4 linked regions of the Saccharomyces cerevisiae S288C genome follow. Changing the gene in region 4 together with the main gene of any one other region gives a genetic interaction. Each region holds a gene or a part of one and is shown on either strand. Other genes may lie near its edges. The genes, in order: PTC4, SYH1, USV1 and YAL064W.

Region 1 (3,561 bases), on a different chromosome or scaffold from region 4:
ATTTGGAAGATATTTTCGCTCTTGAAAGCTATAGAGATTAATTATGTTTTTCCCTTGGTATACCTTTTCTGTGTTGTCTTTCAGTTCCTGTCTTTAGGATGTTATTTATCGATCTTTTTCAGAAAGACCAAAAGCGAAGAAGCGAAGAAGAGGACTTCTCTGTACTAAGACCAAATTATGTAAAAGGAAAACTAAACATGAATATGTGAATTTATTTCCAAAACACAGCAGAGCTTAAAGATGGGGTAAACTCATATTCATATTCATATACACGTATGTATATAAAAATTCATTTAAAAGGATTGCTTTGGTTTTCTACAACACTAAAAAGCACAATAAAATAATAAAGTAAAAAAAAAAATGTGATAATGAGGTCGTTTTAAGGTACTTTTGTTATTTCATCTCCCAAGCAGTTGATCCTATACACTAATACACAGACACATTAACCACACGTTCAGATATGTATGAGAAAAAGGAAGAAGAAAAATAATTTTTTTTCCTTACACTAGGCCCCTTTCTCTTTCCAAACGGGTCTTCATTTTATTAAACCAGTCTTGCAATGTTTCGCCTTTCCGGTTTAGCACTACAATGATGGCAGTCATATTGTCAAAGCCGACACCAGTATTGCTATTTGCCTGCGCTATCCCGTGGTCCAACAATTTTGTTATTATTGTATCCAACTTCGTCCCTGATACCAGGTGATACTTTATAAAGTGAATTAACTGTTTGTTGTTATAAATATCCCATATACCGTCGCAAGCCAGTACTAAAAACTCATCTTTAGAATAGTCAATCTTGTGCATCAATACGTCTGGTTCAACGGTAACTTGTGCTTCTTGTGGTGGGGTTCCATAAGTTAAATTCTGGGTAATATTTGTTAGTTTTGTCCTTCTATGTGGATAAGTGACACCTCTCTTGAATTGGAAATCACTAAATGCCCTACTGAGAGCCAGTACTCCACCCACTCTTCCAAGAGAGACAGTACCACCATTATCGTTTATACGTATCAATTCTCCTATGTGTTGTGGCTTATGATCGAAAGACATCGTCTTTATGCCATTCGATTTGGAGGAAAGAATACATCGCGAATCACCACAGTTAGCCACATACAGTGATTCCTCGTTTATGATGCATGCTACTACTGCTGTAGATCCACACGAACTGTTGGCAAAATGTCGATATAACTCTTCATCTTGCAATATGAAAGCGTCTTTAAAAATTTGAGAAACAAGTCCTTCCAACGTATTGAAGGATCTTTTAAATTTTGATGAGTCGTTATTAGTTGTAGATGTGTAATGGTGGTTTTCGAAACTATACGCAATCCATTTGATCAGGCCAGCGTTGGGTTCACCATTACCGTTGCTACTGCCGTTACCATCGCGATGGTGGCGGCCGCCGCTTAGAAATTTCGAACAATCATCTCCACCATGACCATCGAATACTGCGAAGACGTTCAATGACAGGGTTTCGTATTTGTCTATGAATGGGTTGAAAAATCGTACGTACACAACAGAGTTTTCATTTCTAATTAGATGTGCATCTTCCTGAGTCAAACGATAGCCTTGCATGGACCCCACACAATTGTAAAATCGTGGAACAATACCAGTTGACGCCTGGTTGTTTTTATATTCATTATATTCTATGGTCTTCTCCGTCAACGGATGGGAAAGCAATTGACCCATTTTTGTCTTCTTCAAATTGAAGTTACTTTCTAAAATGGCTATATAGGGGAGAATAGAGGCAAAAAGGGCGATGGGATAGAAAAGAAGACGTAAGGGCTCCGTGCTAAGAAAGAAGAAAAAGATGCAGTTGAAAACAACGTAAAACTAGAGATCCAATGTCAATTGTTTATGTAGCCAATATCTTCGTTATGCGGTGTGAACAGCGACAATAAAAAAAAATGTGGGATAAATTATGGCTTTTTTTTCTTGATTTCCTTTTTCTTTTTATTCATGATGTTTCGAAGAAGAGATCAGCGCGGGAGAGAAAGAAAGAGAGAGAAAAAGAGGGCCTATACGGTGAAAAAACTACTTGCGCAGCTTCAGTAACAGCGCTACAGACAGGCGTTAACGAATAGGAGAGGACGTGTGGCGTTTCAGTTATGTCATTTATATAATTTTATATAAAGTATAAAAAAAGTGAATAGAAGAGAGGGCAGAGAAAACCGGACCAGGAATAGACGATCGTCTCATTTGCATCGGGTTCATCAGTTTTTGGTGGCAGAGGAGCTTGTTGAGCTTGATGATGTACTGTATAATTCATGGACGAAATTTTCACCCCAGAAGGCAGAAGTGTATTTAGAGATGTATTTGTAAAGTTTTTCCCAGTTAACTTCTTTCTTTACATCGGGCAAAGTCAAGGCCTCGTTGATGGCATCAGAAAGATCATCGGTGTTCCAAGGATTTACAATAATAGCACCATTCAAGGATTGTGCGGCACCTGTGAACTCACTCAGGATTAAGGAACCTTTCTTTTCTTCTTGGCAAGCAATATATTCGTAGGAAACCAAGTTCATACCATCACGGGTGGACGAGACCAAACAAACATCGCTCACAGCATATAACGAAATCAGCTCTTCAAATGGTATAGACTTGTGCATGAAATGGATGGGGACGAATTCCACAGTACCGAACTGACCGTTGATTCTACCGACCAACTCATTGACCACAGATCTTAAATATTGGTACTCTTCCACATCTCCACGACTTGGCACTGCAACCTGTACCAGAACAACCTTGCCCCTCCATTCTGGATGCTCGTTCAGAAACACTTCCATGGCGTGCAACTTCTGAGGCACACCTTTGATGTAATCCAGCCTGTCGACACCAACTATGATCTTGCAGCCCTTGAAAGTTTCCTTCAATTGTTGGATTCTCTTTTGTACGGATTCCTTTTTCAACCCATCGGTGAACTTGTCCACGTCGATACCGATAGGGAAGGCCCCTACGTTAACGAATCTGCCCTGGTATTCCACCCCATTAGGCAATGTGTTCACGTTAAGCACTCTTTGCACGGAAGACAAGAAATGTCTTGCATAATCGTATGTGTGGAACCCGACTAAATCACAACTCAAAACACCCTTCAAAATCTCTTGTCTGACAGGTAAGATTCTGTAAATTTCACTCGAAGGGAATGGTGTGTGCAGGAACCACCCGACCTTAACGTTTTGCAGTTGCTTCTCGTGAATCTTGACTCTCAACATTTCCGGAACCAACATCAAATGGTAATCATGCACCCAGATTAAATCGTTATGGTTCATAGTCTTAGCAATCTCGTTGGTGAACGTCTGGTTTGCCTCGTTGTATGCCAACCACGCATTCTCGTCGAAATTGATCTCACCAGGATGGTAATGGAATAACGGCCATAGAATAGAATTACTGAACCCGTTGTAGTGTAAGTCTGCGATTTCATCGCTCAGGAAGATGGGTACGGCATTAAACTTTTCCAGCAAGTCCTTCCTCACCTGATCCTTCTCATCGTCAGGAATCTCTAGCCCAGGCCATCCGAACCACTTGAAAGTGTACGTCTTCTTCAACCCTTCCAACGCCGTGACCAGCCCTC
Region 2 (4,694 bases), on a different chromosome or scaffold from region 4:
ATAAGAATCAGAACTAACTGAGTTATAAGAAGAAAAATCAAGACAGAGGGAGTTTAAAATGGACAGTAACTTTTATCACTAAGGTTATATTGACAAGTAGTGCTCTTTGGAAAAGGAATCTTCTAGAATCATCTTCGTTAAATTTCTTTTTTCATTGCCTTCGAAAAAAAAAAAGAAAAAAAGAAAAGAAATACACGTAACAAATGATTATGCGCTCAACCAACTTAAACACTTCTCATCTCCATTAAGAACCTTCAAACAGACGATAGATTCGCTAAATGATACGTTCTGCAATTTGAAAAATGTGCTTACCTTTCTCAATTCATGTGGCTTCAAACATTTAATCGATATACTAGCTATAGGTAGTTTGCACACGCTAACATATTATTGTAGCGTTCTTAGTACTGTTATTAGTTATCAAGATATTTAATTTCAATTAATTATACAAATAGATGGGAGTTATACTAGTTAATACATTGAATAGAAGATATACACGCGTAGTAAACAACTACTATGGAACAAAAAGGCTTCAAAATCTTTTTCCTTTCTTTTTACCAACAACTTGAAATTCCCAGTCTTCGGAACTGCCTTCAGGCATAGCTAATACTTCACTCCAGCTCAAGGGGTCATTAATTTCTTCTTCGCATTCTAGACGTTTTTTGATGAAATCAGTGGCAAATCTCCTACCGTCCATTGTTGAACTGTAGGAATATATGGTATCTGCGATAATTTCCTTGGATTCTGAACCTGGGGGCAAGCTAAGTAGCATTTCTAAAACATTATCGGGCTGAACACCCGTATTTAGTTTTAATTGGGATCGGCACCATCTCAAAAATTCTTGACGCTTAGAGACAGAAGCGTTACCGGGATAGGCAGGGATGCGAGACGGTTTAACTTGACGGGCCTTTAAAGTCGGGATACTAGTGGATGAGCCAATTTGTTTACTCTTATCGCTCATTTTAGTTTTTGTTGCGGTAGATAACCCCCCAGAAGAACGCAGTGTGTCCAAACTGATATATGACTTTGACTGGTTACCAGCGACAGGCATGGTGGAAGCGATGTGGGTTGTGCTCTTAGAAGAAACCGTGGTCCACGCATTGCTAGTATTCGAAGAGTTCAATGCCGAAGAAGATGGGGAAGGCGTTCTTGAAATGAAATCATCGAGTGAAGAAGCGCGGTTGAATTTCTTTGTTTTCTTTTGAACTTGTTCCCACAGCTTTTTCTGCTCTTCAATAAAAGTGGAATCTGGTTTAATATCACCATTGTTGGCCTTGTTAATTTTAGACTGACTGTTAATTTTGGTACTGTCTTTCATCAATTCTCCTTTAATATCAACTTTGATCGGTTGCTGTGGCTTTATACCCCAGGCAGAACCAGTTTGAGTTTTCGGAATTTGCGCCGAGCTTAATATTTCTTTCTGTAGTTTTAATGCCTGCTCACGATCTAACTGAGTACGATTAGGTTTTTTTTCTTTCTTGGACGAGTTCTCCTTCTTCAAATCTTCAAGAGCAGATGAAATCTGATTATAAACAGCACCCTCGGGTTTCTTGTTAGCCCAAGGCGCCAAATTAGTGGTTATGGAAGTTGCGGTGTTTTCGGAAGATGGAGTTTCTGTATCTCCAGTTAAAATGTTATTTAGCAATTCTTTTTGCTTTTCTTTCTCTAATTTTCCTTCTTCCTTCTTCTTCTTTTTTAACTTCTCTTCTTCCTTTTTCTGCTTTTGCTTCAATTTTTTCTCCTTCTTTAATTTGCGCTGTTCTTCTCTTCTCTTTTTTTCTTCTTCTTGTCTTTGTTGTTCTTCCAATAATTTTTGTGCCATCAGTTCTGCCTTTGCAAACCTTTTCTGCTCTTCAGAAGTCATTTGCGGCGTATCTTTGCTTTTCGGCTCATCAGCAGTGGATATTACATCCTTACGGTCTACCTCTTCAATCTCTGGTTGAACTTGATCCAATATATTTTGCTCTTTCTCGCTTCCTCGAGATTCTTCCTCCTGCTTAGTAGGATTTTTGACAATAGATTCCTCTTCATTTGTTATGTTAGAAACAGTTCTGCCCTCTTCTGAAAAAACCTCTTGCTCCTCTGGAGAAGCTTCCTCGTGGGAAGGAACCTTCTCTTCATGGGAAGAAGTGGTTTTATTAGATCTACTAGAAGTCGTGGATAGAGGAGCGGTATATGCAGATATCTTTGGTATGCGATCTACCTTTGTGATATGACGGCCGTCAACCGGAACCCAAACCTGAGTTTCATGATAGTAACTTCCATCTTCAAATTTAAGGCCAAGGATTTCTTCATACGTAAAATCATCACTATGCACATCAGCAACAGGTATCAAATCTCTTGACTCAACTTTTTGCTTTTCTGATGAAGTTGGTGCAACAAGTGGAACAGCATTCAAAGCTCTAATAACAATGAAATCAAAGGCGACAAAAGGGTCTTGATAATTATTCACCAGAGTAGTCAATTCACCTAGTCTAATAAACCGATCATTTACACCAAATGGCTCAGGAGATGTTGCTAATCTACAGATTTGCAAAGTTGGAGTAAAATAACCTCCTTGATACCACTGTGACATATTATTGGTACCAAAAGGCCCCTGAATGTTACCATTAGAGTCAATGTATTTCCACTGAGATTCTATCCCCGGTGGTGGGGGTTGATTACCAACGTTGGGGGCAGGCCCTGTTGCGTTGTAGAGATAAGGAGCTACATTTGGAAATGTGCTCGAGGGTTTATTGAGAACGGAAGGGCTGCTGGCGTTCATATGCAGGTTGGATGATGCTGCACTAAATGCACTATTGTTTTCCTGATTAGCAGATATTTGTAGCGGAGATCCAGTAATTTCAGCGTCATATGCATTGAAGGGAACAGTACTGGCTCCACTAATCGCATTACTCCCTGGCACAAAAGGAGATGGAACTCTTTGGACGCCAATAGAATCCATAATGGAGGAGGGCCTTTGCAAAAGAGCCGCATTGTTCATGGTTGGAGTATTGCTATTTGATAATGCAGCAGTGTCTGAGTTCGCGTCTGCAAGTTTAACACTGTGAAGGTCAAACGCTAGAGAGTTGATAGGATTCATCACTTACTGCCACTGCCAATCTTGTGCAAGCTGTGGCAAAATCGACCTTCTCCATGCGTCCATGGTAAATGAAATGTTTTGCTTTCTTTTTCGTGCTTGCAAAGTTTGGTAGATGAAATTTCAGAAAGCTACTGCCGTACCAAAGTACAATAATAAGGTGAAAATGGGAGTAGGAAGTAATAGATGGCATTGAATGCCTCATTTATTCATTATTCATGTTTTCTTAACATTTTGATTCAGTTGAGTGCATGCTTTTTTGAAAAGACTAAACATTACAAGTTTTAATCATGTTGGCCCGTTCCAGGGTGTGCTTGCAGACAATCACTAGACGGTTGGCAGACTTTCCAGAAGCCAATGCTATTAAGAAAAAATTTCTCTTTAGGAAGGACACCTCGACCATCAAACAGTTAAAAGGACTGTCTAGCGGCCAGAAAATAGTACTCAATGGATGGATAGAGCAGAAGCCAAAAAGAGTTGGGAAAAATTTGATCTTCGGACTTTTAAGGGACTCTAACGGTGACATTATCCAGTTGGTTGATAACAAATCGTTGTTGAAAGGCTTTACTTTAGAGGATGTGGTTCAAGCCGTAGGTATACTCTCTTTGAAGAGGAAGCTATCAAATGAGGACGCAGATGAGTACGAAGTGCAATTGGAGGATATTACTGTGTTAAATGCATCTAATAAAAAACCAGCGCAAATGCAGGATTTTAAATTGTCAGCCATATACCCACCTGAGTTCCGCTATTTGCAATTGAGAAATCCCAAATATCAAGATTTTTTAAAGAAGAGGTCATCTATCTCTAAGGAAATAAGAAACTCCTTCAACAATTTTGATTTTACGGAGGTCGAGACCCCAATGTTATTTAAAGCTACCCCAGAAGGCGCAAGAGAGTTTCTGGTTCCAACAAGGACAAAGAGATCCGATGGTAAACCATCGTTTTATGCTCTAGATCAGAGCCCTCAACAATACAAGCAACTCTTAATGGCTAGTGGTGTCAACAAATATTATCAAATGGCAAGGTGCTTTAGAGATGAAGATTTAAGAGCAGACAGGCAGCCTGAGTTTACACAGGTTGATATGGAAATGGCCTTTGCTAATTCTGAAGATGTCATGAAAATCATAGAAAAGACAGTTTCTGGGGTATGGAGTAAATTTTCCAAAAAACGAGGATTATTGACTTTAGACAGTAAGGGTACATTAGTGCCTGCGAAAAAGGAAAACGGCACAGTATCTATCTTTCGTATGACCTACGAACAAGCCATGACCTCATATGGTATTGACAAGCCAGATTTGAGAGCGCCAGATTTGAAGATTATCAATTTAGGCGAGTTCAATGCCTTTAGTCATTTGAACAAAAAATTTCCCGTTTTTGAAGTAATTATTCTAAGAAGTGCCTTTTCAAATATGGAAGAGTACAAAGAACGATGGTCGTTTCTGACAAATAACAGTAATTACAATTATAGAGTTCCAATAGTGCTACCAATTGAAAATGACGAACAAGCTAATTCAAATTGGTTTGAGAATTTTCATGCAATTGCCACGTTTGAAAACCCACATCTAATAACCAAATTTCTGAAACTGAAAAAAGGTGACATTGTATGCGGTTGTACGAG
Region 3 (8,741 bases), on a different chromosome or scaffold from region 4:
TCAATAATACTGAATTTACCTGTATTTTCAGTGACTTCGCTAATACCACGAATATATTTGCTCAACTCTTTGAACAAAGATGCATCAATATTAGGCGTTAGATGGGCATCAAGCTCAGTGAAAACACATTGTGAAGAAACTGGTGGATTTACACGATCTGGGCCTTTCGCATCAATAATAACACCAAATTTCATTTCTAACTCAATGAAGGATCTTAGTTCAGGAGCAATTGAGTATATTGTAGCATAAACCCAGTCCTGTACTGACTTTGTTAAGTCATCATCGGGAATAATGTTTAAAAAAGATGGGTCAATTTTGAGATCTTTCACATTTATACTTTGAAGAGCTTTGATAGTAGGTTTCCATTTTTGTGCCCAAATTGGAACATTCCTGTACTTACTGGGCTTGGAAGACGCAGATATTTCATTCAGAACCTCCAAATCTCTCTTGATATTATTCTTTTTTGATTGTAAAGTAGCTTTCTCTTCAAAAATATTATCTACAGCTGCATTCGCTTCTTCTTCCTTCTTGACCACGCTTCCTACTGCATTTCCCGCTATCTTCTTCTCAGTTTGCTTCTGCTTTTGCAGAGGTACTTGGGTTATATAGTTGCTGGCAATGTTCCCTTCATTACCTTGTTTCGGTATTCTCTGTTCTTCATCACTCTTGCTATTCTGATGAATTGAATCATCAGAAGGCTTTTCTAACTTCGCATTGGCATCACTACCATCATTCATAGGAGGTGATCCGTTGGATAGTAAATTTCTATGTTGTTTATCATAGTCAAAGTCCATTTCTGAATCAAAATTAATTTCTCCACTTGCACCCATTTCGTCATCCGTATCGGTTTCTTCATCATCATTAGATGACTTGCGTGATTTAGGTTTTTGTGAGTGCGAGCCATGACCAGTACTCTCCTTGTAATTGTCAATCGGAGCAGCTTGGCCCGTTTCCGTTTGATTTATATCAGATTCTAAATTTTCGGCAAAAGGTCTGCTGCCATTAGCCGCCTCACTTAATTTTTGTAATTTAACCTTTTCATTTTCATCGTGATTCACCAGATCGTCTAACGATAAAGCTCTTTTTGTTTGAGGAGGGTTGTCAGTGTAACTCATAGTGGGAGGATAGAAATGCTACCAACAATTCAAGGTTTTTTAAAAAAAGAAGTGCTATTCCAGATTCAATTTATAAGGGATATTTTGGAAATATCAGTATAGTATTCCCAGCAGATCTTTCAGTGTCGAATACGCTTTTAATTATCACTCTTATTTGTGTGAACCTATATTATAGATTCATTAGAGGACTTTTCCTTTATTACCATAACTTACGACGAAACTAACTAAAATGTAGGTCTATATATCATTTGTAACGGCACGTTGGGTAATCATGACTGGTACATGTTATATGTTATCTACGCAGGTCCTGTTTCTGGCATTATGTATGGCTTGACTTTAGGAGTTCCAGTAAAACAAGGTTCAAGATTTATTATATCACCATACTTGTAGCCTCCAGGATTATTATGAAACAGAAAAATGGCATGTATTTTTGAAAGAATATGGTTATATGAGTATTTAGTGCTTAGTACATACGTCTTGCGTCTGTTTGCAGATAAAACCCTTCTCCTTTTATCTACATATACTAATTGAATAGTGAACTACATGAATAGAAGAAACCGATAATTAAAAATAAGTAGGAAATGAAACGGCTTGACATAATATAACATAACGTAACATAACATGGACACAAGATTTGTTCAAATGAGGAATATGCAAAAAAGAAATCAAAACAACGTGTTTGTCCATATCGCGATCATTCTTGAACACTTTCCAAAGGATTAAAACTTTGAGATGTATAAGGATTGAACTTCGGCCTAGAGTTGAATATAGAAGAAGCAGAATTTGGAGGTGAAGAAGACATAGAACCAGGATTAGAACTGGATTGCGTGTTCTGATGATACAATGACATTTGTTCAGCGGTCAGCCTATCCATTTTCTCGCATGCTTGTTGTTCTTCGAGAGAAAGTAAAGATCTTGGACAGAAAAATAAGTCATCTTTGAAAGATTTGCAGATGTTGTTCTTGTATATTATGGAGGAGTGGTCTATATCTGGGACAACATAATGCTGAGACGATCTGCTAAAGAGTAAAGGAGGGATAGTACTAGTGTTGGCATTCTTGTTAAGGTTTGAGTTTTCGCTGGTACCGGCCCCTACTAAAAACAAAGGCGGGCTTATTGGTTGTTGCTGTTGCGGCTGCTGTAACGATGACGCAGTGCGATTTTGTTGCTGCTGTTGCTGCTGCTGTTGCTGCTGCTGAAGACGATCATATTTGAAATTCTGGAAACTGAGCGCATCTGGAATAATACCAAAGGGGTTGCTGCTTGCGAAGTTCATAGGTTCTTGGATATTTGGAGGGGTGTTGTAGGGCATCATTTCATGTAATATAAAAAAGTGGTTATATGTGATAGTTTATCTGCTAAAATCGGAAAAAGCGTCATCTTGTCAGTGAAATGAGATAAAAAGCTTCTTTCTTTTCTTTTTCTTATTATTGCAATTAACGGGGGTCCGGGTGAGCGTAAGGGCGAGATAACCATGGCGGTATAGGTGTATATGATCAAGTTTTGAAGTCAAGATGCAGGATTGTTCGTTCCGTATTCACAATCCACCGTTAGTGTTACATCGTAGTTTTTGATGCTACTGTGGGCTGTGTAAAGCAGACGCGGGAGTTTAAAATTAAGTTTTGCGGTTATTTCTCGTTGATCAACGCAAGAGGTCAGAAAGCCCTTTATGCAAGGGATTTTTTCTTGCAATTGCATCTTATCATTTTTGTAGCACTGATTATACATAGCTTGACTCATTTGAAAAATTTTATAAACTGCATTTAGTATGGAACAAAACATAAAAATAAAAAAAGATGCGCACCATAATTTGTTTGCGCATATTAAGAATTATATTAGTTGTAAGATATTTATACTCTACGGAATATTTGAAACTTAGATCAGATTGCCTCGATCAAGTCAATATGTAATCAACACTAAGCCTTTTCTTATTGGTGTTGACCGAAATATCAGACTCTGATAAAGTTTCCGACCTCTTTTTGTTATTATTATCATTGCGATCATCAGTATTCTTGAAATTTTCTCCCCCTTTGCCGCCATTCTTCGAGGAAGACATATTATTGTTTTTATTTCCATTTGGTGGTTGGCTAAATGCCTGCTGATACTGTGGTAAAATAATTGGTTTTGCTTCAGCAACTGTCGTTGACGGAGAAAACGGCGGGGAGAATGAATCAAGATGGTTATTGATATTACTAGTATTGACATTGATATTGCTTGGTCTAATATTGTATTTGTTCATAGTTGTCCGTGCTTGAAAGTCGGCAGAATCTTTATATTTGAAGGAAGTACTTGGCATGGACCTCGGAGGAAAGGACGATATGATTACCTCAGAGGCCGGATGGCTCGTTGAGGAGGGGCTCACATTCAAAGGATACTGCACATCTACTGATGGTAAATAATTGATGGTGTTATTATTACTGGGAAGAGGATACTGGTAGTAACTATCAGTGATTGGATGGGAAGGAAAATAATAGGGAGCCTGTTGATGCTGTTGTTGTTGGTGTTGTTGCTGTCGTTGGGTATTATAAATGGACCTTGGAGAGATGGGTGGGATGCTTCTCGTGCTAGTAATGAACTCCGGCGAAGAATGTATTATTTGGGGCGCTTTTTCGTTTTCTGCCATCATCGGCATGTTCCCGCTATTAATATTAGTTTTCCTGTAAGGATCACTATATGATGTAGATGATGAAGCAGAAGACGAAGAAGATGCAGAAGAAGAGGAGGATAAAGATGAAGAGGAAGGCTTACGCTGGTGCGAGCTGGTAGAATGGTGGTTTTTATGTGCATGGACCGATTCCCGATGCTGTTTCAAATTATCAACTCTACTGAAGAATTTCAAACATGCAGGACACTGGAACGGCTTTTCACCAGTGTGCTTTCTTATATGACGTGCAAGATGTTCCGCTCTAGTGAAGGACATCGTACAACCGTCATATCCGGTGCATTTGAACGTTTTCCTTCGAGCACTTTTGGACCTCTTCGGAGTTGATGCCGCTACACTATTGGTGGCAAAGTTACCATTGCTGCTCGTAAGAACGCCTGCAGTATTACGATTCGTGGTATTTTCCATTTCGTGTTTTTTTCTTATCTTATCACAGTATTATTTATGTGTTAGTAAAAAAAGCTAAGCCAGTAAGTCGCTCCAGATTTTTTCTTTACATACATGGTTAATGAAGCTGTTGCAAAATACTGCAGCCAAGAACTCCTGTCTCTTTCAAAACAAGACGAAACTTTATCTGCCGGGATGAATAAGAATTAATCAAAATTATAGGCAATAAGAGTGGATTGAGATTGTTATATACGGAAGACTGTTGAACGGTTAAGGGGGAAGCCGTGAAGGAGCAAACAAATCTTGAAAAAGAAAACATTTTCTAAAAAAAAATAGAGGGGATAAATAAGGCCCTTAGGGGGACTCAACGGCGGAGAATTCGAAAGCCAAAGGATGCTTCCCACCGCTAAGCCAGGGCGAACGGCAGCGGCGATCGAGGATGCTGGTTCTTTAAGGGCACTCGTCCACCTTCGCGATTTTTCTCTTCCCTGAGTATTTGGCAGAGGCGATCAAGGGGTGGCTCACACAACCAGTCGCAGGAGCGTCGCGCATCGGGTATTAGACCCTATTCTGTACACCACAGCCTTCCAGCCCCTTGCCCCACGCGATTGGTGTAAACAATAGATGGCAGTAATCGTTGAGACAACATAACTACCGGCCGTCCCTGACCCTTTCCCCTCCTCACGGTAGAGACAACAACCACGGGAGGAATAAAAACCGGTGCTGGGCCAGCCGATATCGTAAAAGCCTAATTACCCCAGAGCTGCTACGCGGACTTCTATTCTTCCACGCGTCAATATGCCCCCGCGCGAATTTGTGTGGGCCGACCAAATAGAAGAATTGAACGGTGTGTACGCTCAGGGCCATATGATTATAGACGTACACAATGATTAGGCCAGATCGAAATCAGAGGCTAAAGTAAGGAAACGATAGAAAAATAACAAAGTAATTACTATTATGTCTGATAAATAGAAGCGACACGTTACATATTAAAAGAGGGACTACGTAGTGCTCTCTCTATTTCTTAGTAGAAACGGCGACCGCGACAGCTTGGAGGTCATCGTGAGAAATAGATACCTTCACATCGGTAACACCAGCTTCTTCGGCAGCCTTTTTGGCGTTACCGTGCAGTTCAACGGCTGGAGCGTTTTTGTTAACGCGTACGATTTCGATGTCTTTCAATGCAGCACCACCGCCTAAGGACTTGACGCCTAAGGACTTGAAAACAGCCTCTTTGGCGGACCATGTCCCAGCGAAAGAGCTTTGCACACTAGGCTGCGCGCTGCAGTACTCTATTTCTTGCGGGGTGAAATTGCGCTCGATAAAAGTATCATTTTCAACGTTGATGCTAGTGATTAATTCAACATCTACACCGACGCCACCGTTAGAGACTTTCTCCTTGGTCATGTTTTCAATCATCTTGGCAGTTTCAATGGTGTTAGCATTGATGTAACTGTCCTTGCTTTGGATGTTTTTAGAGTTGAAAGTCAAGGAGCCTGATTTCTTATCCTTAGATACACGGGCTAATGGGTCCAAGTAAACATCCTCTTCCAATTCATCAGTGTATGGAGCATGCTCTTTACTTACGAACAACTTGTTGTAGATCATACCATTATGGAAGAATTTGTAGGCACTTTTCTCTCTGGCACTAACCTTGGCGACATACTCGTTGTATCTGTCTTCAGTGATAGCACCGTATAAGTAGTCTGGATGAACCACAATAGCTTGACCACCCTTTTGACCAAAACCGAAAGAAGTGATGGACACGGCTCTGACACCGTCGGTCTTTAAAGTCTTGGATGGGTACAAGACGTATTCAAATTGCTCCAAGATCTTATCCACGTTATCAGCGTTACGGTTACCTGGAATAATACCACTGTTTAGAATTTGCAAAGCACCATTCATCATCCATGCACCAGCAGCACCCTTTGGATGACCAGTCAAGAACTTTTGGAAAACACCAATGACGGGATTACCTTCAGATCTACCCAAATGCTTCATCATTTCATTAATTGTGGCAGATTCGTTCTTGTCATTAGCCTTTGTGGATGTACCGTGGAATGAAGCGACACCCAAGTCATCAATAGTTAAACCGTAAGTAGCCAGTGCTCCTCTCAATGGAGCAATACGTGGGTCCCTCTTGTAGAAGTCGTTACCCCATTGTTGTTGTGCAGCTCTCAATTGACTTTCAGCTTCGTTGTGGATTTCTCTGGTACGTTCAAGTAAGAACTCGTTTTGGTCTTCGCTTGGAATTTCTTCGGCCTCCAACTTCAAAGCTTCCAATTCGTTTTCTACCCAATCTTTAATCTGAGCTTCACGAGTAACCAATTGGCGCTTTCTGTACTTCATGTTCAAGTTTGGTGAAGCATACTTAACACTGGAGTGGTGTTCACGAGCAGTGGTTAAAATACCCTTACCTGGAGCTGGCACAGATCTACCAATCTTATCGGTGGCGGTAGCAGCCATGGCAACAATACCGTAAATTGGCACACCCATCTTCAAAGCTAAATCAGCTTGCATGATGATTTGAATACCAGCACCTTGAGCTTCCATAAAACCGTTACGGGTAGTGGTGGCAGGTCTGGACATTTCCGCTGGGGTACGACCATGTTCAAATTCTTCCAAAGTGTTGGAAGTGGCCTTCATGTTACCGAACTCAAAGGAGCCTTCTTCTTGGAAATCATCGTAACCACCGACAATACAGATTCTAGCCTTACCAGACAAGATGGTTTCTACACCAATGTCAACAGATTCCACGGATGTGGCACAGGCACCAACAGGTGTCTTGATTGGACCAGATGAGGAAATCAACAACATATTAACCCAAGCGGACATGGTGTTGATAAATGATTCTTGTAAAATATCATTTTGGACAGGCTCATCCTTGAAACGGTCCTTAAACATACCACGTAAGGCAGAAACACCACCCATACCAGAACCAGAACAGTTACCAACCTCAGAAACATGTACGTATTTGTACATTTCGTATGGGTCGGTGATACCAGATGCAATAAATGCTTCCACAACAGAGACCAAAACGAATAATGTGATTGGGTCAACCTGAGAAATGATATCATCAGAGATACCATAAGTCTTAGCATTCCAACCAGTTGGAATTTGACCTGCAACCAAACGGTCAAATCTCAAAGCCTTTGGAATGTATAAAGTGGCACCCTTTAGTAACTTAACAGAGTACTCTCCTGTTTCTGGGATTTCGAAGATATCCACTTTGTCACCATGTTGGTGTTTAAATTGTTCGGCAGTTTCCTTCGAAGCCTCAAATGGTTCCAAGTCTTCTTCGACAATGACTTCTTGAATCATTTCCTTCTTTTCTGGGTTGTAACCATTGAATAACTCTGGTTCGATCAATCTGATACCACTGTGTTCTAGGATTGATGTTTCATACTTGGCCTTAACGTCCTTGTCATCAACTGGTTCTTTTGTTTTGGAATCAACCCAACCAGTGTATGGACGACCCTTCAAATTACCGTTATGGTATGAAATGAAGCCCATAATCCAGGCCATTTCAACGCAACCTTCCAACGAAAATTCACCAAAAGCTTCCATTTCCCATCTTGTTCTGGCCGAACCCCATGGGCCGACTTCAGCAAAACCGGTAACTACAATAACTCTTTCCAAATCCAACAAACCTTCAAGCTCAGCGGGAGCAATTTGTTTAACCTGTTTGTATGGTTTCAATTCTGGGAAGTCCAGTTGAATGTTAGCTCTTGGTTGAATTTCGACTTGAGCATATGCAGCATCAGCGCTATTGCCATTGACAACCTTATGCTCCAAAGCAGTTTCGATGGAAACTGCCTTTCTAACTTCAGAAGTTTCAACCAACTCTTTACGCAATTTAGCAGTGAATTCCTTCAATTCAGGAACAAATTGCAAACCACCATTCAAGTCAGCCATAACAGGTGATTTTTGGCACAATTCTACGACTTCTGGAGTCAATAGACCCAATAAGTTGAAAGCCATTTCCTTTTGAGAGAAAGTACGAACACCCATCTTTTCAATGCCTTCAGCAATGATGTTATTAGCGCTCATTAAACCAGTACCTCTAGTCCAACCAATAATAGCACCGCAAACGGTTAATTGATTGGCCCAGGATTCAGAGTGCCATCTGTTGAACAAAGTTTCCAAAGACAACTTGGATTCTGAATACATACCATCACCACCGAAAGTACCATGGTTTGGAGACATTGGTAGAATGACTTGAGCTGGTCTTGTTTCAATACCTCTTGCAGATTTTTGCTTCTTGACACAACCCATCATTCTTAAGATATTGGTCAACATGATTCTATGAGCAAATTCAGACTTAGAATCAATATGTTCTAATTCAATACCTTGTTCTGGAATGGCCGCGAATGGAATAATAGCATCTAGATCCCAACCTAAACCACCATTCTTTTCAGTGTCGTAGATAAATTCAATCAAAGCTTCAACGTCTTGCTTAGAACCTTGGTTGAATGGAACAACAATCAAAGTAGAACCCTTAGCACCATATTTGGCGTAAATGGATTGGTAGTAGTCTGTAACTTGCTTAGAGAAACGAGAGGTGGTAACAACAACCT
Region 4 (7,728 bases):
TTTCTTCCCCTGTCATTTCTTCTACAACAACCTCCGCTTCTATACTCTCTGAATCATCTAAATCATCCGTCATTCCAACCAGTAGTTCCACCTCTGGTTCTTCTGAGAGCGAAACGGGTTCAGCTAGTTCTGCCTCTTCTTCCTCTTCTATCTCTTCTGAATCACCAAAGTCTACATATTCGTCTTCATCATTACCACCTGTTACCAGTGCAACAACAAGTCAGGAAATTACTTCTTCATTACCACCTGTTACCACTACAAAAACGAGCGAACAAACCACTTTGGTTACCGTGACATCCTGCGAATCTCATGTGTGCACTGAATCTATCTCCTCTGCGATTGTTTCCACGGCCACCGTTACTGTTAGCGGTGCCACAACAGAGTATACCACATGGTGCCCTATTTCTACCACAGAGATAACAAAGCAAACTACGGAGACAACAAAGCAAACCAAGGGGACAACAGAGCAAACCACAGAAACAACAAAACAAACCACAGTAGTTACAATTTCTTCTTGTGAATCTGACGTATGCTCTAAGACTGCTTCTCCAGCCATTGTATCTACAAGCACTGCTACTATTAATGGCGTTACCACAGAATACACAACATGGTGTCCTATTTCCACCACAGAATCGAAGCAACAAACTACGCTAGTTACTGTTACTTCCTGCGGATCTGGTGTGTGTTCCGAAACTACTTCACCTGCCATTGTTTCGACGGCCACGGCTACTGTGAATGATGTTGTTACGGTCTATTCTACATGGAGGCCACAGACTACGAATGAACAGTCTGTCAGCTCTAAAATGAACAGTGCTACCAGTGAGACAACAACCAATACTGGAGCTGCTGAGACAACTACCAGTACTGGAGCTGCTGAGACGAAAACAGTAGTCACCTCTTCAATTTCAAGATTCAATCATGCTGAAACACAGACGGCTTCCGCGACCGATGTGATTGGTCACAGCAGTAGTGTTGTTTCTGTATCCGAAACTGGCAACACCAAGAGTCTAACAAGTTCCGGGTTGAGTACTATGTCGCAACAGCCTCGTAGCACACCAGCAAGTAGCATGGTAGGATCTAGTACAGCTTCTTTAGAAATTTCAACGTATGCTGGCAGTGCCAACAGCTTACTGGCCGGTAGTGGTTTAAGTGTCTTCATTGCGTCCTTATTGCTGGCAATTATTTAATAAAATTCGCGTTCTTTTTACGTATCTGTGTATCTTTTCTTTGCTAAATATACGCTGACATGAATTATTTTTTAACTGTTTCTCCTCCAAACTTTCAAATATTCAAATTGAACTAAATGATAATTCTTGCGCTTCCTTTTTTGAAAAAGTAGATATATGTATCATAAAGAAAACGTTATTGTTATTTTCTTGGGCAACAAAAATCCATGAAAAGAATTTCACCGTTATCGATATCATTGTATTTATTTTATTTATTTATTTAATTTTTTTTTTTTTTTTTTTTTTTTGATTTATATCCTGCAAACAACACTTCGAATTTAAATCGATATTTCATAAGTTACAACTAACACTTATAGAAACAGAAGTATGAGTACTTATCATTAACGAGGAAAAATGCCCTATTTTGTTTAGCAATTAATGAACCATCGCCAATTTTTGCTTTAACAATTATTGCCATTTTCAGCAGTACTAACGTAAGATCTAGTGTGGTTCGCTTAGGATGTTTTTGAGTAGAAATCTGCTGTGCATGCCATACGCAGTACTTGAAACTTGAAATAATGGTGATAATTAGTTATTTAAAGTATGTTAATCCTCCTTGTTCTTTTATATTTATTTCGAATTCTTTTGCACTAGTATTAAAAATATCAGCAGAGACGTAAAAGTGCACCAAAATTATTGTAAAACTACTTGCCCTAAAATTGATACTTCATACTCGACATTCAAAAGGGGTCCAAGTTTGGATGCATCAAAAAAAAAAAAAGAAATTATCCAATGATGAGCAAATGGTAGCTTTTCGTTCCCCAGAAGTGTAGTAGTTCCATGAAGTCTAATGACACTTTGGAAAAAGGTTTGTCACGAGCACCTAACTACTGTATTTTGGAATTTTGATAAACTTCAAAACGGGAACGAAGTGTTAAACTTAGATGCGGTTGACTTAAGCTTTAAAAGAGGAAAATAATGACTGATGATAAGAATTCAACAACGATTCAAAGCAGGTGAATTTCCATTACGTTTCGCTTTTCAATTGAAAAAAATTTGGTGGTTATTCGTTTCTTGCTTGACCTCTTTACTTTTTATACTTCTGTGATGAGAAGCAAGTTCGAGGATTTTACGATAAAGCCTACTGGTTATATTTGTATAAATTAGAACGTTGTCCTTATTTCTCTTTTCGAACAGTATCAAAATAAAGTTTTTGATCAGGGCCAGATTCTCTTCAAGGAAGAGATACCTCACGTCTGTAATATCTAAGAGCTAATGTTTCGATCGAACTTTCCTTTGCTTTTTTTCTGGATCTCATGAGGTCCCACTGTATGTATGTGCCCTCGCACAGTTTTGCTCATCATAAACATTAATCATTGGTTTTATGATAAGAATATCGTAAGAATTATTTTAACTTTCAGATTAGATTCCGGCCATATTTCTGACATTTGTTTTATTAATAAAAATTTGGCGAATGCTTTGATAACTGCTGATATTTCATTGTTGAAAAGGCATGATATAAGATGCACAAAGTATATTATAACTTATTATCAGAGATATAGGAACAAAGAAAAAGGGAAATTCATATCTCTATGTAAAAATACCATTATTTCCTCTTCTGTTTAATATGCTGTCCTTAATTTTCATGTTACATTATCAACTTTTGCATTTCAGTGTCCATTAGATCTTGGGACCATTTCCTCAATCTTCATGTCGTCTTTTCACACCGTATATAATATACTAGTAATATAAGTACTAGTCGATAGCTCGCAGTTGAGTCTTATTCCAACAGTTAATGACTCACTGTGCTTTCTGTTGCTGTAGAATTTCTGAGGCATTGTCGCTCTCTTCTATGTGATGCTACAACGGAACTAGGCTTCTTATATATCGTGGTCCTACAAGATCTTGGTATCTCGTTTGCTTACTTTGAAGCTTCACTGATATATAGTACTTAAACCACTTTTATGTTCATGGATAATCGTAATTGTACTACGCTGGTACCAGTTATGAACCCTATCAAATCATCATTGAACACTGCTATTTTTAACTAATCAAGATATATATGCGGCGTACTTTATAATTTCACGACACTATTGAAAGCAAACTAAAAATCAAGTAAATACCTATCCAAGTTGCGGGCTCTGGATTTATGTGGCCTTAAATTTTCGACCTATGGTTCGCTATTCAATATTAGAAAACCAAAATTAGGTACAAGTACTGATTGCGTCCGTGATTTGAAGAGCAGCGTTAAAAGATTACAAGATTTTGCGTGTCTTGGCCGACACTTAACTTTAAGCGTCTCGACTTGGTAACATGAGTTGCCAAAAGTTTTTCTCTCCAATCTGAATATGGGGAACCGGAATCTGTCTTTGACCTGACTTTCAAATTGTTGCATATGTAAAAAAAAAACAGAAGAAATATTATCTTGTCCTTCTAGCGATGCAAAAGGATTCATTACAAATCGTTGCAAAGGCCGAAAAGTTGCAGTATATTCGCATTGCTTATTTGAAGTACGTTTGTATACACATCGATAGTATTCATTAACACCACAACGGCTGAGTATACTATGTCAAACAGCACAATAAAGCCTGTCTGCGATTTTTTCCTCTACGTTCAAAAATCTCATTCAAGGCATAATCCCATATGTTGAAGATCGCTACCCATTGTTACAGGCAAACTGAATTTTTGGAAATGAGCTTGTACTTAGTAAATTTCTCTTTGCTTGCATCTTTTTCTTCCTTGTCAAAAAATAAAAGATACTCATTTTAAAAGCGCAGCCATATTGACTAAGTAAGTAATTATAATACTATGAGTAATTTTTGAGTACTGTGCTCATTTATTAGCTGCTTTTCTGAGAAAGATCCTCGATAATCAACTCCAGGTTAGTGGGGCGCTTCTACGGTCTCTTCTAACCAATTGTTCCCCGTGAGTTGCTTTCTCCGAAAACCTTATTATACATTAGGGTTATAAGAAAATTTTCTTTTTCCCGTAGATTAACTTGCAATGCCGAACTTCTAGATGTCACACCAGACCGTTTGACACCGCCATTTTCCTTCCTTTTCGGAAAAATGTGCCGATAAATGGTAAGACGCGACGCCACCGCTGCGAATATTGCGCTTATGATGAAGCAAAAGGAAAAAGCAAGTTCCCCTTAAATTCGTATAACTGTTTCATCAATCTTTAGTTCTGGCATTTGAAAGTTAATTAAACTTTTCTTCGTGGTTTCTACAGGAGTTCTGCATGTGCGTAATTCGAAGCCTGTGAAGGAAAAAGTATTGTCCTAAACAACAGCCGTAGAATACGTCAACTATAGTTTAAAATATTTTCTGGCTCTACCCGGTGCGATAGGTCTGGCTCTTTTCTATTTACTTTTGTTTGGAGTTGTTGAGGCCGATACCCGTCTAGATGTAAATATGAAATAACAGTTCGAGGTTTTATTACGAGAATGGAAAGGGTAATGGATTGGAGCATGTGTAAATGTCAATAGCAGAAAAAATTTACCGCAAATTGTTTCGTAGTCTTATCTTCATCGGACACTCAAGGGTTGCATAATTTTTACCCAAAGGAACAGTATACTTTTTTAATAAAAAAATCATGTTACCTATGGAGTATTGTAAGCATTTTCAGAAACTCGTCTTTTGAGTTCTAAATGCATCATACAACAACAACAATTTCTTATTACTGTGTCCTTTTGGGATTTTTCAGCCTTCCTGGCTTACCCAAAATAGCCTCTCAAGGTGAAAAAAACCATGCCTGCAAGCGGATCTAAGGATGAGTAGCTGGATTACAATAAATCCTGAATTTTCTCTGAGTGTCAACTTTGTCAGCGCTTGTTAAAGGGCTACTACGCTGAAAAAGAACCTGAACCCCGTTAATAGGTTGACGATTTTATGACTTGGTATGCTATTCCATACGGCGGCTCTCCTGATTGCGGTGGGTCATTGCTATAACAGTAAAATCAAGGAAGATAACAGGAAGAGTAACTTTAGTACAATAAATCTGTTGTCTACCGAGGATTATAATTGTTCGGCTTTCACACTAAGTTGAAAGGGGACTCAGGAAATGACAGGGTACGTTTTAGTTTCTTCAAATAAATCTTCCACACCCAGCTTCAATGTGGTAAACGGGGGAAAGTTGATTAGTTGATGTTGACACGTATATTTAACTGATGTAGAGAAGAACAACATACTACTAACGTCACAGTCAATTGTGCCAGTTTTCCAATCAAGATAATGTAAAAGTAATTGATATATGTTCGTACTGGTTTCCCAATTTCCGGGAAAAACTGTGTACATGGGTGCAATTCCTTGTGGTTATTTCCTTTTAAGTTATATTGCCAACCACATCATAGTACTATTTGCGGTCACTTCAGAAGATATGTTTGCTCCTTTGACCATGATATAGACCAGACCAACTGTACCGCTTCAGACTTCAGAGCATTAGGAATAAGCACCACTATTACACAACCATAGAGCTACTCTTACTGCCACGTAGGTAAAACACTTGCTACTACACACACTCGTAGTGACTCATCTGACTATATTACCGGTTGTTAAGAGGCACCAGTTCAAGCACGCCATCAAGAGTACCGAATAATCTCTTCTGTATCAAGTATTCTACCTTTATGTCTGACCCACGTATTATGTGGAGCAATTACGTATTTTTCTCATATCAGCTTTGTTTTTACTCAACTTTAATATCTTAGAGAAACAGATCTTGATGTTACAGCAAGGTCAAGAAAATATTTTGACAAAAACATACTAGTTTCATCCTTAGTAGTTGGTTCTATGAATGCTGTACTTGAAGCTATTGTTCATAAAATCCTTAAGTTTTACCAACGGTATAATATCCTGCTATTAAATCTGCAATTACTTTTGCGAAAAGAAGGAAAACAGGCAAAACAAAAGCAAAAAAATTGGCATCCCAATTTCTTATAATATAATAGTATAACGGATGTACACCATGCTTTCAATAATAAGAGGTTTGCTGAAAAGGGCAACTATCTGACTAGTTCAGAGCCATGCAAAAGTTAAGGATGAAAATGCCAAATAAGAAGATATTACGGAGTACATTCATTTCAAAAAGAAGAATGTATACTGCTTAGATAAGAGGATCGAGTTTTTATATTTCCGACCAAATAAGCAGTCGAAAACTTTTGATGCACCAAACACCGTTCTTGAGAGCCAAGCACAGATGCAATTGTTCTGCCCTTCTTCCAAATTATGAATTGTGCATCATATCGTAAGGCCAGCCACATAAAAAAAAGGACCAAAAAACTCAGTATGCAGGCGAATATTCATCATACAGTCTAGCTGCCCTCACTACTTCCAAAAAAATGGGCTAGTGTTGTACGGTTTATGCCATATATCCAGAGTTAGCATAACTATGCACTACCGCTTTTCGAACAAAAAGTTTGCGAGACCTAGTTCATTGAATATGACTTACCAAAAAAGGATACTAAGATCCTGATAATAAAGTCAATAACTTGAATTTTAGGTGGAATATCTCTTATGCCTTTATTTTCAACAATCATTATAGACTAACTCTACCAGCAGATTATGATGCCGTTCTTCTAGTCGAGCACATGGTCAAAATAGTCAATAAAAAGGCCCAGAAATGGCGGTAAATTAGTGGTCGTAGTAAGCAAAATAATTTCCTAATTCCTTCCAAATGGGGTTTTCAAAAAGCTGACTCACGTAATTGATCAATACTTCACTAAAGAAGAATCATATGAATAAAACCAAAATCAACACTAATTGAGAGACTTAGCGGCCAAAGCTTAATCATCATTACATAGAGTATATGAAGGGGGGAGTAAGTGAATATGCAAGGGTGGGAAACGGCAAAGTATTTTTATGCAAAAAGCGTATTTACAAATCCCGTAAACTCATGATGTAAATTTTGTAACCAGCTTTCGCTGAGACTATTTCTTTTGCAAAAGAAATATTCAATAAATTAACAATTTTCAAACAAATTACCAATCAATGTTCGATAACTTGCAAGAGAGATATCATCATTTGGCTTTTGTGATAAATTTACAAAACGTAATGTTGTATCGAGATATATTGAGTTACAAGTTTTCCTCTCTTTTCCCGAAGCGCCAGACCCCCATATAAAAAATAAGGTTTATAGCGGGCATTATGCGTAGATCAGGGCTTAAATTTTTCATTGCAGAAGTCCAATTTCAGACTCAGTATGGTTTGTTGTAGTACCGGTGTAAAAGATGGTGTTATTAAGACTGATTTGGTAGCTCAGGTATTTCATTCAATAAAATTGTGAAAGAGAACCTGGAATATAGAATGGAAATATATATCCTGCTACTAACCCCAATGGAAGGTGACGATCGCTTCTTGTGCGTTCCAATACCTGCTTTTGAATGTGCGAGTGGAAATATTCTAGAGGAACAAATTGATATTTTCAAATCAGAATTCATCAAATATATGTACTCGGTAAAAACCAAGGACGTGATGAAGTTGAGCTATTGTCTTTATGGGAAATTGATTTTTTTGTTTAATATGAATAATGCAATTTTACTTCTCAGCTCAAGTAATGTAAAGATTCA

What was found.
Region 1: mutations in YAL064W (region 4) and PTC4 together harm fitness more than expected from each alone (negative genetic interaction), as found in Saccharomyces cerevisiae (one large-scale study listed by BioGRID).
Region 2: mutations in YAL064W (region 4) and SYH1 together harm fitness more than expected from each alone (negative genetic interaction), as found in Saccharomyces cerevisiae (one large-scale study listed by BioGRID).
Region 3: mutations in YAL064W (region 4) and USV1 together harm fitness more than expected from each alone (negative genetic interaction), as found in Saccharomyces cerevisiae (one large-scale study listed by BioGRID).

The regions. Positions count from the first base shown.
Region 1 is NC_001134.8:486,699-490,259, forward strand, and holds PTC4 (type 2C protein phosphatase PTC4), read right to left. Parts: upstream 1,683-3,561; coding exon 501-1,682; downstream 1-500. Other genes in the region: alpha,alpha-trehalose-phosphate synthase (UDP-forming) TPS1, read right to left, coding at 2,207-3,561.
Region 2 is NC_001148.4:352,334-357,027, forward strand, and holds SYH1 (Syh1p), read right to left. Parts: upstream 3,080-4,694; coding exon 530-3,079; downstream 1-529. Other genes in the region: aspartate--tRNA ligase MSD1, read left to right, coding at 3,367-4,694.
Region 3 is NC_001148.4:110,756-119,496, reverse strand, and holds USV1 (Usv1p), read right to left. Parts: upstream 4,186-8,741; coding exon 3,010-4,185; downstream 1-3,009. Other genes in the region: CET1 (polynucleotide 5'-phosphatase), read right to left, coding at 1-1,115; YPL229W (uncharacterized protein), read right to left, coding at 1,810-2,430; trifunctional fatty acid synthase subunit FAS2, read right to left, coding at 5,182-8,741. UniProt on the Saccharomyces cerevisiae protein: Transcription factor that participates in the transcriptional activation of glucose-repressed genes during exponential growth in non-fermentable carbon conditions. Also involved in salt-stress response.
Region 4 is NC_001133.9:17,459-25,186, reverse strand, and holds YAL064W (uncharacterized protein), read right to left. Parts: upstream 3,622-7,728; coding exon 3,337-3,621; downstream 1-3,336. Other genes in the region: flocculin FLO9, read left to right, coding at 1-1,187; YAL063C-A (uncharacterized protein), read left to right, coding at 2,502-2,792.